Linked DNA regions of Rattus norvegicus. Each later gene encodes a partner of the first gene's protein in a complex. Each region holds a gene or a part of one and is shown on either strand. Other genes may lie near its edges. The genes, in order: Capza2 and S100a1. A codon is read from its position in the direction of its gene.

Region 1 (4,494 bases):
TGTTCCAGGCTCACTAATGCTGCAGTACCAAGAGCAGCCGCCATAGAAGTGTGCTCACTGGTCCAGGGAGAAAACTCTCTCAACTATTACTGTCCTCCTTCAGCAGAGTTTGAGAATGGTTCTCTTTGAGCTCTATATAACAATTTCATACAGTGTCAAATTCACGAAAATGCTTTATTATACAATTCAAATGAACTAAGAAAGAATAAGAAAGAAAAACTCTTTCTGGCTTGGAGTTTCTATAACTATGTAAAATTTACAGAGTCACACTATGACAAATTAATGCTGTTAAGGAACTTCATAGTTTCTTCAGCTAAATTTACTTCCTTATTAACACTGTGGCCAAAAGAAATTAAGCCATAAAAATCACAGTACATTCAGCCTAGTGTCCTAGATACTTTCCCCCTTCTGTTTGTTTGTTTTTGAGAGAGAGTTTCCCTGTGTAGCTCTGACTGGCTCGTAACTCAGAAAATCAAGCTAAACTTGGTCGGACTGAAACTTTTTCCTCCTGATCAGCCTTCAGGGTAGTGGGATTACAGGTATGCCTACAACGCCCAGTCAATCTCTTTCTGTTGTTGCTTTCTATAGGCTGGCCTCAGACCTAGAGATCCTCCAGCCCCAGTTTCCTCAGTACTTAGATTACAAATCTGCTCTGCCACACCCAACTACGAATTTCTAAAATGTCTCATCTCACAGGACCAGTAAGAAACTATAAAGCAGCAGCACACAATGTTCACATTACATAAAAATAAACTTCTTTTTAAAAGTGATGAAAACAGAAGTTTACCAGTTAACATTTTCACTAAGTATAAAACATAAATTTAGAACCTACAAAGAACCACTGCTTCCTTTTTAAAAATAAACAAATTGAAAACCAAGATATAAAACCAGGATAGTTCTACAATCAACTTCAAGGGAACATAATGTCATTAAGTATGCAAGCAAACCTGAATTCTGACAAACTTAGGTTTAAAGTTCACCTCTGCCATTTCCCTCCTATATAAGGCTTTTAAAATCTTAATTTACTTACAGGTAAAGGGTAATAAAACTATCTACTTCAAACTTAAAAAAGAAAATGCAACCTATTTTTCTTATGTGATAAGCACATACAAACTACAGTATTACACATCATAGTACCTCCCCTTCTTTAGACCTAAAATCTAAACAAAAACTCAAGTGTAAAAAGTATTTAAAACTTACTCCTGAAAATCACAAGCAAGGAAATAACAATAGAGAAGCATGATTTAAGAACTGGTCTTAAATATTACAATTGAATCCATTTCTGATCCATATGGAACACCCTCCTTCTAAAACAGTACAAGTCTACTGGGTAATAAAAGTGACAAGAACACTGTTTTCAATTTACTGGGTTATTTAAATTTCACTAGAAAGTTAAGCCACTGATTTCTTCAATTTAGAAAATACTGTTATAAAATCTGAATGTGAATCCCACCCTAAGAATTCTCTTCTCACTATCTTCCAAGTCAATTGAGCGCTTAAAAAGTACATGAAAGAAAACAAAACATGAAAAAAAATCCCTCCAAGAACTTTCAAACATTATTTTTCCTGTAGTGTGCACTGGTATATTTTCAATTAACAGCTTAACACTATTCAATGTTACTGTACAGCAACTTTTATGGACTTAAGAGTCTAACTCTGTGAATTAAAGTATGTTTGCCCCCATTTTGTTAGGTTATCTACCCTTAGTGGTTCTCTAACACCCAACTAAAATTGAGTATGTTTCCCACACCGGTGTACTTTATCTGGAACTTAAAAACTAAGCTAAGGTCAGACATTTCCAAAGTGCACCACACTCATGTCAGTCAAGTCTTAAGTTTCAAAAAACGTCTCGGTCTTTTCCAGAAAATATTCAAAATGTATAGAGTTCCCCTCACAGTACTCGCCCCTAGGTATGAGGTCGCCCTCAGTCGCCAAAGAAAATGGGCAAGAGTCTCAGTTCAATCAGATTTCGTATCACAAATGTGAGAACTTGAGTCCTGCATTTGGTCCCAGTGCTGTCACAGCATTTAACACACAGTAAAAGGAGTTGCACCCGCTCGCCCTCTTCGGAGTTGGTCCTATCAGGAAGATGGGATGTCACCAAATCTGCCCCAAGGGGGGGAAGCGGCCAAGTTGGACAGAAAACAACTATTGGGGGGAGGTGTCTTTGTGAACAATACTGCCTTCCGGGGAACATGGGAGCAGCAATTAAAAAAAAAAAAGGTAATGACAATATTAATAAAAGAAATGGATGGCAGGGGGTTGGAGGGAAAGGGGGCGGGATGTAGAAACTGCGACCTCCAGAGGGAAGGAAACACCCTGGAGAACCAGGAAGCACTTCGCGTTGGGGAGGAGAAACTGCAGGAAAAAGTGAGGGTCGGCTAAGCCGTTTCCCCCTCCCGCCCGCCTCACGGCGAAAGCCCCAGGCCAGGCGGCGCCGCTCCGCTGTCGGCCGCTCCCCAGCCCGGACCCCTAGGGCCCGGTCCCGCCACCCCCGCTCCGGCCCGCGGCCGCCCGGCTCCGCTTCCTATTTTCGGAGCACACACCCTACAAGGAGCGGAGGGGCCCGGCCTCCGGGAGCCGAGGCAGCACCCCGCTCGAGAGGCGCAGGCGTGCGGCCCACCACCAGAGCCCGCCCGGGGTCAGATTCCAGCCCTTGCGTCTCAGCTCTCGGTCCCGTCCGCCCTGCTCTTCACCGCCGCGGCGCCTACCTTCTCCTCATCGGACAACTGCTCCTCCAGATCCGCCATCTTCCTTCTGGCGACAAACCGTGGCGCTGGTGGCAGCAGCGGCCACCTGACTTCCCCCTTTCCGTGCGGTCTTCCGCGCCGCGCGCCCCCGCCAAGGGAGGGGCCCGCCGCCCAGGCCGCCGCGCACGCGCCCCGGAGCTCCGCCTCCCGGATCCAAGCCACTGCGCACACGCCCGGGAGCTCCGCCTTCCTCAAGCCGCCGCGCACGCGCCCCAGAGCTCCGCCTCCCTCCCCTGATCGCAGGCCTGAGCGCCACTGTGCGCGTGCGCAGCGCCTCCAAAGTCGGATTGCTATGGTATCTTCTGTCATCCTGCTCTGGTGCCTTCTCTACCCAATGATGACCATATGGACCAGGTTGGCGATGAGTACATTCTGAGCCCATGACTTTGTTCCCACCAAGTCCTGAACGCTGCCAACAAAAAATGTGAAAAGCTGTACCAATTTAAAACATTTTTAAGTATTAGGAAAAATACTGTTTTAATTAAAATAGGCACACACAATCCAGTCCATAATTGAAAGATTACTTTTGATATATTCATTTATTCATCCAAAACTATTTATTGGTCTTTTATAATAGGAAGGCCCTGGTGCTAGTTCTTAGGAATAAGAAAAGGAGGAAAAAAAAAAACCCAGACAAACCTAAATCCCAGAGAAACTGCTCTTAAGCTCACCTCTATTAATTAGACATTAAGTTAGGGAAGGCATTGTACTCTTGGAAGGAAATAAAATGTTAAGTTAGCCTTGGATGTGTACCCTCATGAACTGGCTATCCAGAATACTTACAGGACATTCACTAGAAATTTCAATTTCATGCAACCAATTTTTAGGTAAATATCCTATGAAGGATTTGAAACATTCTAAAAACATTATTTATTGTTTTCACATTTTACTGGCTGTCTCATTTTTATTTGCTAAATCTGGCAGCTCTACTACTGAAGCTTCAATTATTAAAAAAAAAAAAAAAGTAAGGATGAAGTCAAAGCTGACACAAGAAGCAGCCAGAAACATTGTTAAAATTGAGTTGCTAGTTCAGTAGACCTGAGTGGACCAGAGAATCTATATTTCTTACAGGTTCCCAAGTACGAGGAGTGCTATTCATCTGAAAACTACCCTTTGTTTGTGGAGGACTTAGAATTTAGCTAGGAGTTAAGACTTTAATAATTAGAAAGTGAGAAGCCATTGAAGGCATTCGGACAGTGTCACGACATGAACGGAACATGCTTGGCAGTGTCAGTCTGACAGCTGTGTGTAAATAACAGGTAAGAGTGCCCTTAAGAGTTCAAATAGCTATTTGGGTCCAAAAACACTATCATTAAGTGACTTACTAAAGTGTTCGTTTGCAGAACAGAAGAGGAAGCTGACACTCGAGGGAGCTGAAAGTGTCCAGTTGAAGATAAACCCATGGAGACAGTATGCAAGTTAATAAAGTACAGTGTCTGGCCAAAACTCTCAGGAGCGACAAATCAATATCAATTTCCTCTTTTATAGTTTCTAAACCCTCGCTTTATTTATTGCTCCCGGCAATTGTGTGTGCTCAAGTATTACTGTACCTCCAAACCAAAGTTCAGTAATTTAACCAACGCTGCATGCTCCCACATGACTGAATCCTAGGCATTTTTTCAACATCCCATATTCTTTCCACTGCCAGAACTTTCTCCCTTTCTCCACAGAATAAAACTTAATGGAGGTACCCTCTCTGGCATGCCAGCAATCCAGTTCACAGCACCTGCTTCATCAACAATCT
Region 2 (4,259 bases), on another chromosome or scaffold:
CAGGAATCTCCACCCTCCCCACATACTGGTTACTGTTCCTGGTAGAGAAGTCTAGGGCTGGCAAAGGCACAATTGAAGTCAGGGCTGGCTCAATCGGGCCATCTTCTCTGCCCCATACCCTCCCTACCTCTGGCTAAGGGGGTCGGAGTGTGCTCAGCACAAGAACCCATCGACCTTCCCCGCTACTGTCCATGGTTGACAAGGTCTAGAAAGGAGCTCTCCAAACTCAAGTCCGCAACCCACAAAGTGTTTGGCCTGGACACCAGGGCCCACGGGGGTCCAGGAACGGAAGAAACATGCCTACTCATCCCCCTCATTTATGTCCGTCCGTCATTTATGTCCCACATAATCCTGCAAGGACCGTTGCTTGCTTTCCTAAAGTCACTTCCTGACTAATCTCTGCCTGAGCCCGCTTGGAAGGAGGGACCCGGGAGCTGATAAAGAAAAGAAGGTCTCCAGGCTCTCTGCAGAGTCAGAAAGAGTAACTCACCGGGGCAAGAAGATGGGATGCAGCTAACCGATCTGGAGCCCTGAGGCTGAAGTTTTTAAGCACCAGGGAAAGGAGAAAGCCACTCCCAAGTCCAAAGTGTCAAGTTTCCGCCTCCGCTGATTCGAGAGAGGAGACCGCCCCTGCTGTCACTAGCCACCCCACCACAGCGCCTCGCGACTGGGACACTCAAAATATGGTTTTTGAGACTGAGGAGGGATCATAGGGTCCCTTATCTCTCCCAATTATGAGTGCTACTCGGGAGTCTGTGTTAGAAGGGACTGCTGCTGCTGCTGCTGCTGCTGCTGCTGCTGCTGCTGCTGCTGCTGCTGCTGCTGCTTGAAAAAATTAAAAACAAAACAAAACCAAATGTACTTGGGGAAATCAGCACTGGGAAGCCCCTTCTGAGAAACTCGAGGTCCAAAGGCACTTGGAGAGCCCCAAACTAAAGCCCCGTAGTGGGACCCCTATTGAAATTCTCCACTGAGTTCTAAGACAGAAGCCCCTCTTGGAGACGCACAGGCTAAGCACTCCTGGGCAGAATCCTTCCCTTTCCCTGCTCAGCCGGTACCGCAGCACCCAGCACCACAGCACCCTTCCCACGACCTCCTTCTCTTTCACCTCCTTCACGCAAGATTCGGGGAGGTGGTGCAAGCAAGAGTGGAAAGAAACAGCAGACATCCATTCCCTCCTGGGAGACAGAGGGCGCCTCTGTCCACTCCTGGCCCTAGCCCTTCGGGTGTCGTTTGTGAAGGGGTGGAGCCGTCGGGAGGAGGGTCGGCAGTAAAGACAGGTCTCCCCACACTGCTCCGGGGCAACATTTGCAGCGCGCCCTTCTGTCAAGAACCTGCTCCGACGTCAGGCCGAGGCCAACCGTGAGTATCCTACCCTGCTTAGGATAAGTCTCTGGCTGAGCCAACCTGGAGGAAAAGAAACTTCAGAAGACACCCAAGAGTTCTGGAAAAGGATACTGTGGTGTCACCGGGGTCTGGGAGGAATCAGTCCAGGGAAAGAGCAGCTCGGGAACTAGGGGAGATGAAGTTTGGAAAATAGTGAGAGTTGGTGAGTGAAGGTCAGAGAGCTGGGAGCCTGTGGTGAATGAAGATGCCACCCAACTTCAGGGCTACCAGGCCTTCCTACACAGAATCCTGTGTCTCCTGCCAGGGATGCCATTCTATAGGTGTGGGCAGGGAGGGAAGGCAGCCCTGTTCCTTTAAGGTAAGAATAAGAAAGGCTGTCCCTGCCCCATCTCCATCCTCACCCTCTGCCTTCTCAAGAACTAGGCTCTGAGTCGTGGAGCATACGCCATGTGATATCATAAAGAAGGGGGTCTGTGGCAGTGTGCCTTCACAAGACTTCCTCTCTATCCCTTCTTTGACCCCTTGACCCCCACTTCTCTCTCTCCTCATTTTTTCTCTTTGTTTCCCACTGCTCCAACTGTAGGTCCTCCCCTACATAAACCCTCCAAGCTGCTAGAGGGTTCCAGGCAACCTCCAGATGCCCCCCCACAGATGAGAATGGTAACTGAGCCATCCAAATTCCTCCCTTGAGCACTCTCTTATCCCTTTGATCAGCCCCGCTTGAATTCTCTCTCCCACTGTCTCTGTAACAACTGCTTCTTGTGACTGGAGTTCAGGTGACAGTCACAAGGGCTCCATTGAAGAGCTGGGATGTCATCTAATCAGGACCCATTGTCCAGTATACTCAGTGGTGAGGAAAGATGAGGACACCTGAGCTGAGACACCTGAGCTGCCCCTGAGGCTATGGAAGGCATGACCCTCCCGGGCCAAAGGACTGAGGCCCCCTAGCCAGTAGTCTCTTCTTGAAAGACCTCTCCATTCTTCCACTTTCACCCAGCCCTTGAGCTCAAATGACCTCATACATTCAGCCCTTTATCCAACACAAACCAGCCCTATCCTGCTCCCACTGTAGCTACCAAACCAGAGCTTGCCCAAGGCAGGAATGGACAGCATCAGGGAGACATTTCCTCTCCCTTCCTTCTACCTACCTGATGGAAAGCAGCGACTTTGCAGAGAAAAGGACTAGACCAGGCAGTCATGTTCCCCCGAAAAGAAGCCAAAATGACATACTTGTGGGGAGAGGGGGAGCCAGGCATAATGGCTCGTTTGGACCAGCGTCTCAGCACAAGGAGACAGACAGGACTGCCCATATGTTGAGGGTCTGCTTGAGATAGTTCCAGGACAGCATAGGCTGTTATCAAAAAATAAATCCCAAGCACAAAAAGATGGCGATAAAGCCAAAAGGACCTGGACTTAATCCTCAGGGTCTAAAGAGAGGAAGAGCCACACTGGCTGACAGAAAGCTTGGGAACAGTAAGACACCTCTCCCCAACAACTCTTGGGTCTCACCCCCTGACTGTCACCCCTCCATCAGCTCACCAAAGGTATTAGACTTCTTCCTGGGTAAGCAGAGGAGATCTCAGCCCACTTAATATCAACAGCAAAGCTTAGCTGTGACAGGCCTGGAAGGTAAAAATAGAGCTTAAAGCCTGCCTGGTCCGGTGTCTACCCATGCCTCCCCTCCTGCTCCCCAGCCTGGAGCCAGCCACTGCAGATATCTTCCACAGGCTTCCAAAGACAGTCCAGTTCCTATTGCTTCATCTCCATGCTCATGCCTGACTCCCTCTGACTGGGAAATGATGGAGGGACCCAAAACACTGCACCGGATCTAGGTGTGCTAGGGTTACTCCTACATTGCAAAATCTGAAGGAAAGATAAAGTACATTGGGGCTCATCTTGTAGCTGTTTGAGCTGTGAGATCAGGGCCAGATCCCAGATTTTCTGAATCTAGTTTACAATAATTCACTTCCATCATTGTGGGAACACATAGGTGTGCTGCTGAAATGGGCTCTGAGCTGGAGACCGCCATGGAGACCCTCATCAATGTGTTCCATGCCCACTCGGGCAAGGAAGGGGACAAATATAAGCTGAGCAAGAAGGAGCTGAAAGACCTGCTACAAACTGAACTCTCCAGCTTCCTGGATGTAAGCAGAGGATTGAGATACAGGGTGGAGGAAGGGGGTGGGTGCCCCTGCCCTATCCTTGCCTCACCCCTAGCTCACCTCTTCCAACCATCCTCTTCTTCCAGTCTTAGCTAGGTGTTCCAGGCTCCCTTAGCTCCTCCCTGGAAAAGTTAAAATGCCCCTTCAATACTAGGCTCTGCAAATTCGTCAATAATGCTATCCACAGCACAGAATGGGGTCATGAAGGGCCGAGCAGAGTAGCATATACCTTCAATCCTAGCACTCAGAAGTAGAGGCAGGAGGGATCAGTAGTTCAAAGACAGCCTGGTCTATGTGAGCCCTTGACACAAGAAAGAAAAAGAAGAAATGAAGGAAGGAAGGAAGTCGACCCAGTGTGATGATGCATGCCTAATCCCAGCATTCAAGAGGCAGAGCCAATCAGTTCTCTAGAATTTTGAGCCAGCCTGGACTATGTAGTGAGAACCTGTCTCAAAAAAAAAAAGTTGTAAAATTAAAATAAATAAGCCACAAAACTAAGCATGGTAGCTCCCACTTATAATCCCAACACTTGGGAGACTGGGGCAAGAGGATGATCATGTGTTTGAGACCATCCTGGACTAAATAGTGAGTGAAACTGACTCAAAAGTGGACTTTTGAGATGGTTCAGCTTGCCACCAAGCATAAGAACCTGAGTTAGATCCACATAGTCAAGACAGAACTAACTCCCACAAGCTGCCCTCCACAAAAGAACCTTAGTATGTGTATGTCCACTCATATATATGTGTGTGT

What was found.
Region 2: the proteins of Capza2 (region 1) and S100a1 are in contact, whole or in part, in an NMR structure (PDB 2KBM), measured with the Rattus norvegicus proteins. Residues at the interface, in NP_001009180.1 of Rattus norvegicus: Thr267, Lys268, Ile269, Asp270, Trp271, Asn272, Lys273, Ile274, Leu275, Ser276; in NP_001007637.1 of Rattus norvegicus: Ser44 (codon at 3,480), Phe45 (codon at 3,483), Leu46 (codon at 3,486), Asp47 (codon at 3,489), Lys50, Asp51, Ala54, Lys57, Ile58, Glu61, Leu78, Ala81, Leu82, Thr83, Ala85, Cys86.

Annotation. Positions count from the first base shown.
Region 1 is NC_086022.1:46,942,353-46,946,846, reverse strand, and holds the start of Capza2 (F-actin-capping protein subunit alpha-2), read right to left. Parts: upstream 2,808-4,494; 5' UTR 2,751-2,807; coding exon 2,712-2,750; intron 1-2,711. UniProt on the Homo sapiens protein: F-actin-capping proteins bind in a Ca(2+)-independent manner to the fast growing ends of actin filaments (barbed end) thereby blocking the exchange of subunits at these ends.
Region 2 is NC_086020.1:178,293,309-178,297,567, reverse strand, and holds the start of S100a1 (protein S100-A1), read left to right. Parts: upstream 1-1,221; 5' UTR 1,222-1,362; intron 1,363-3,337; 5' UTR 3,338-3,350; coding exon 3,351-3,491; intron 3,492-4,259. UniProt on the Homo sapiens protein: Small calcium binding protein that plays important roles in several biological processes such as Ca(2+) homeostasis, chondrocyte biology and cardiomyocyte regulation.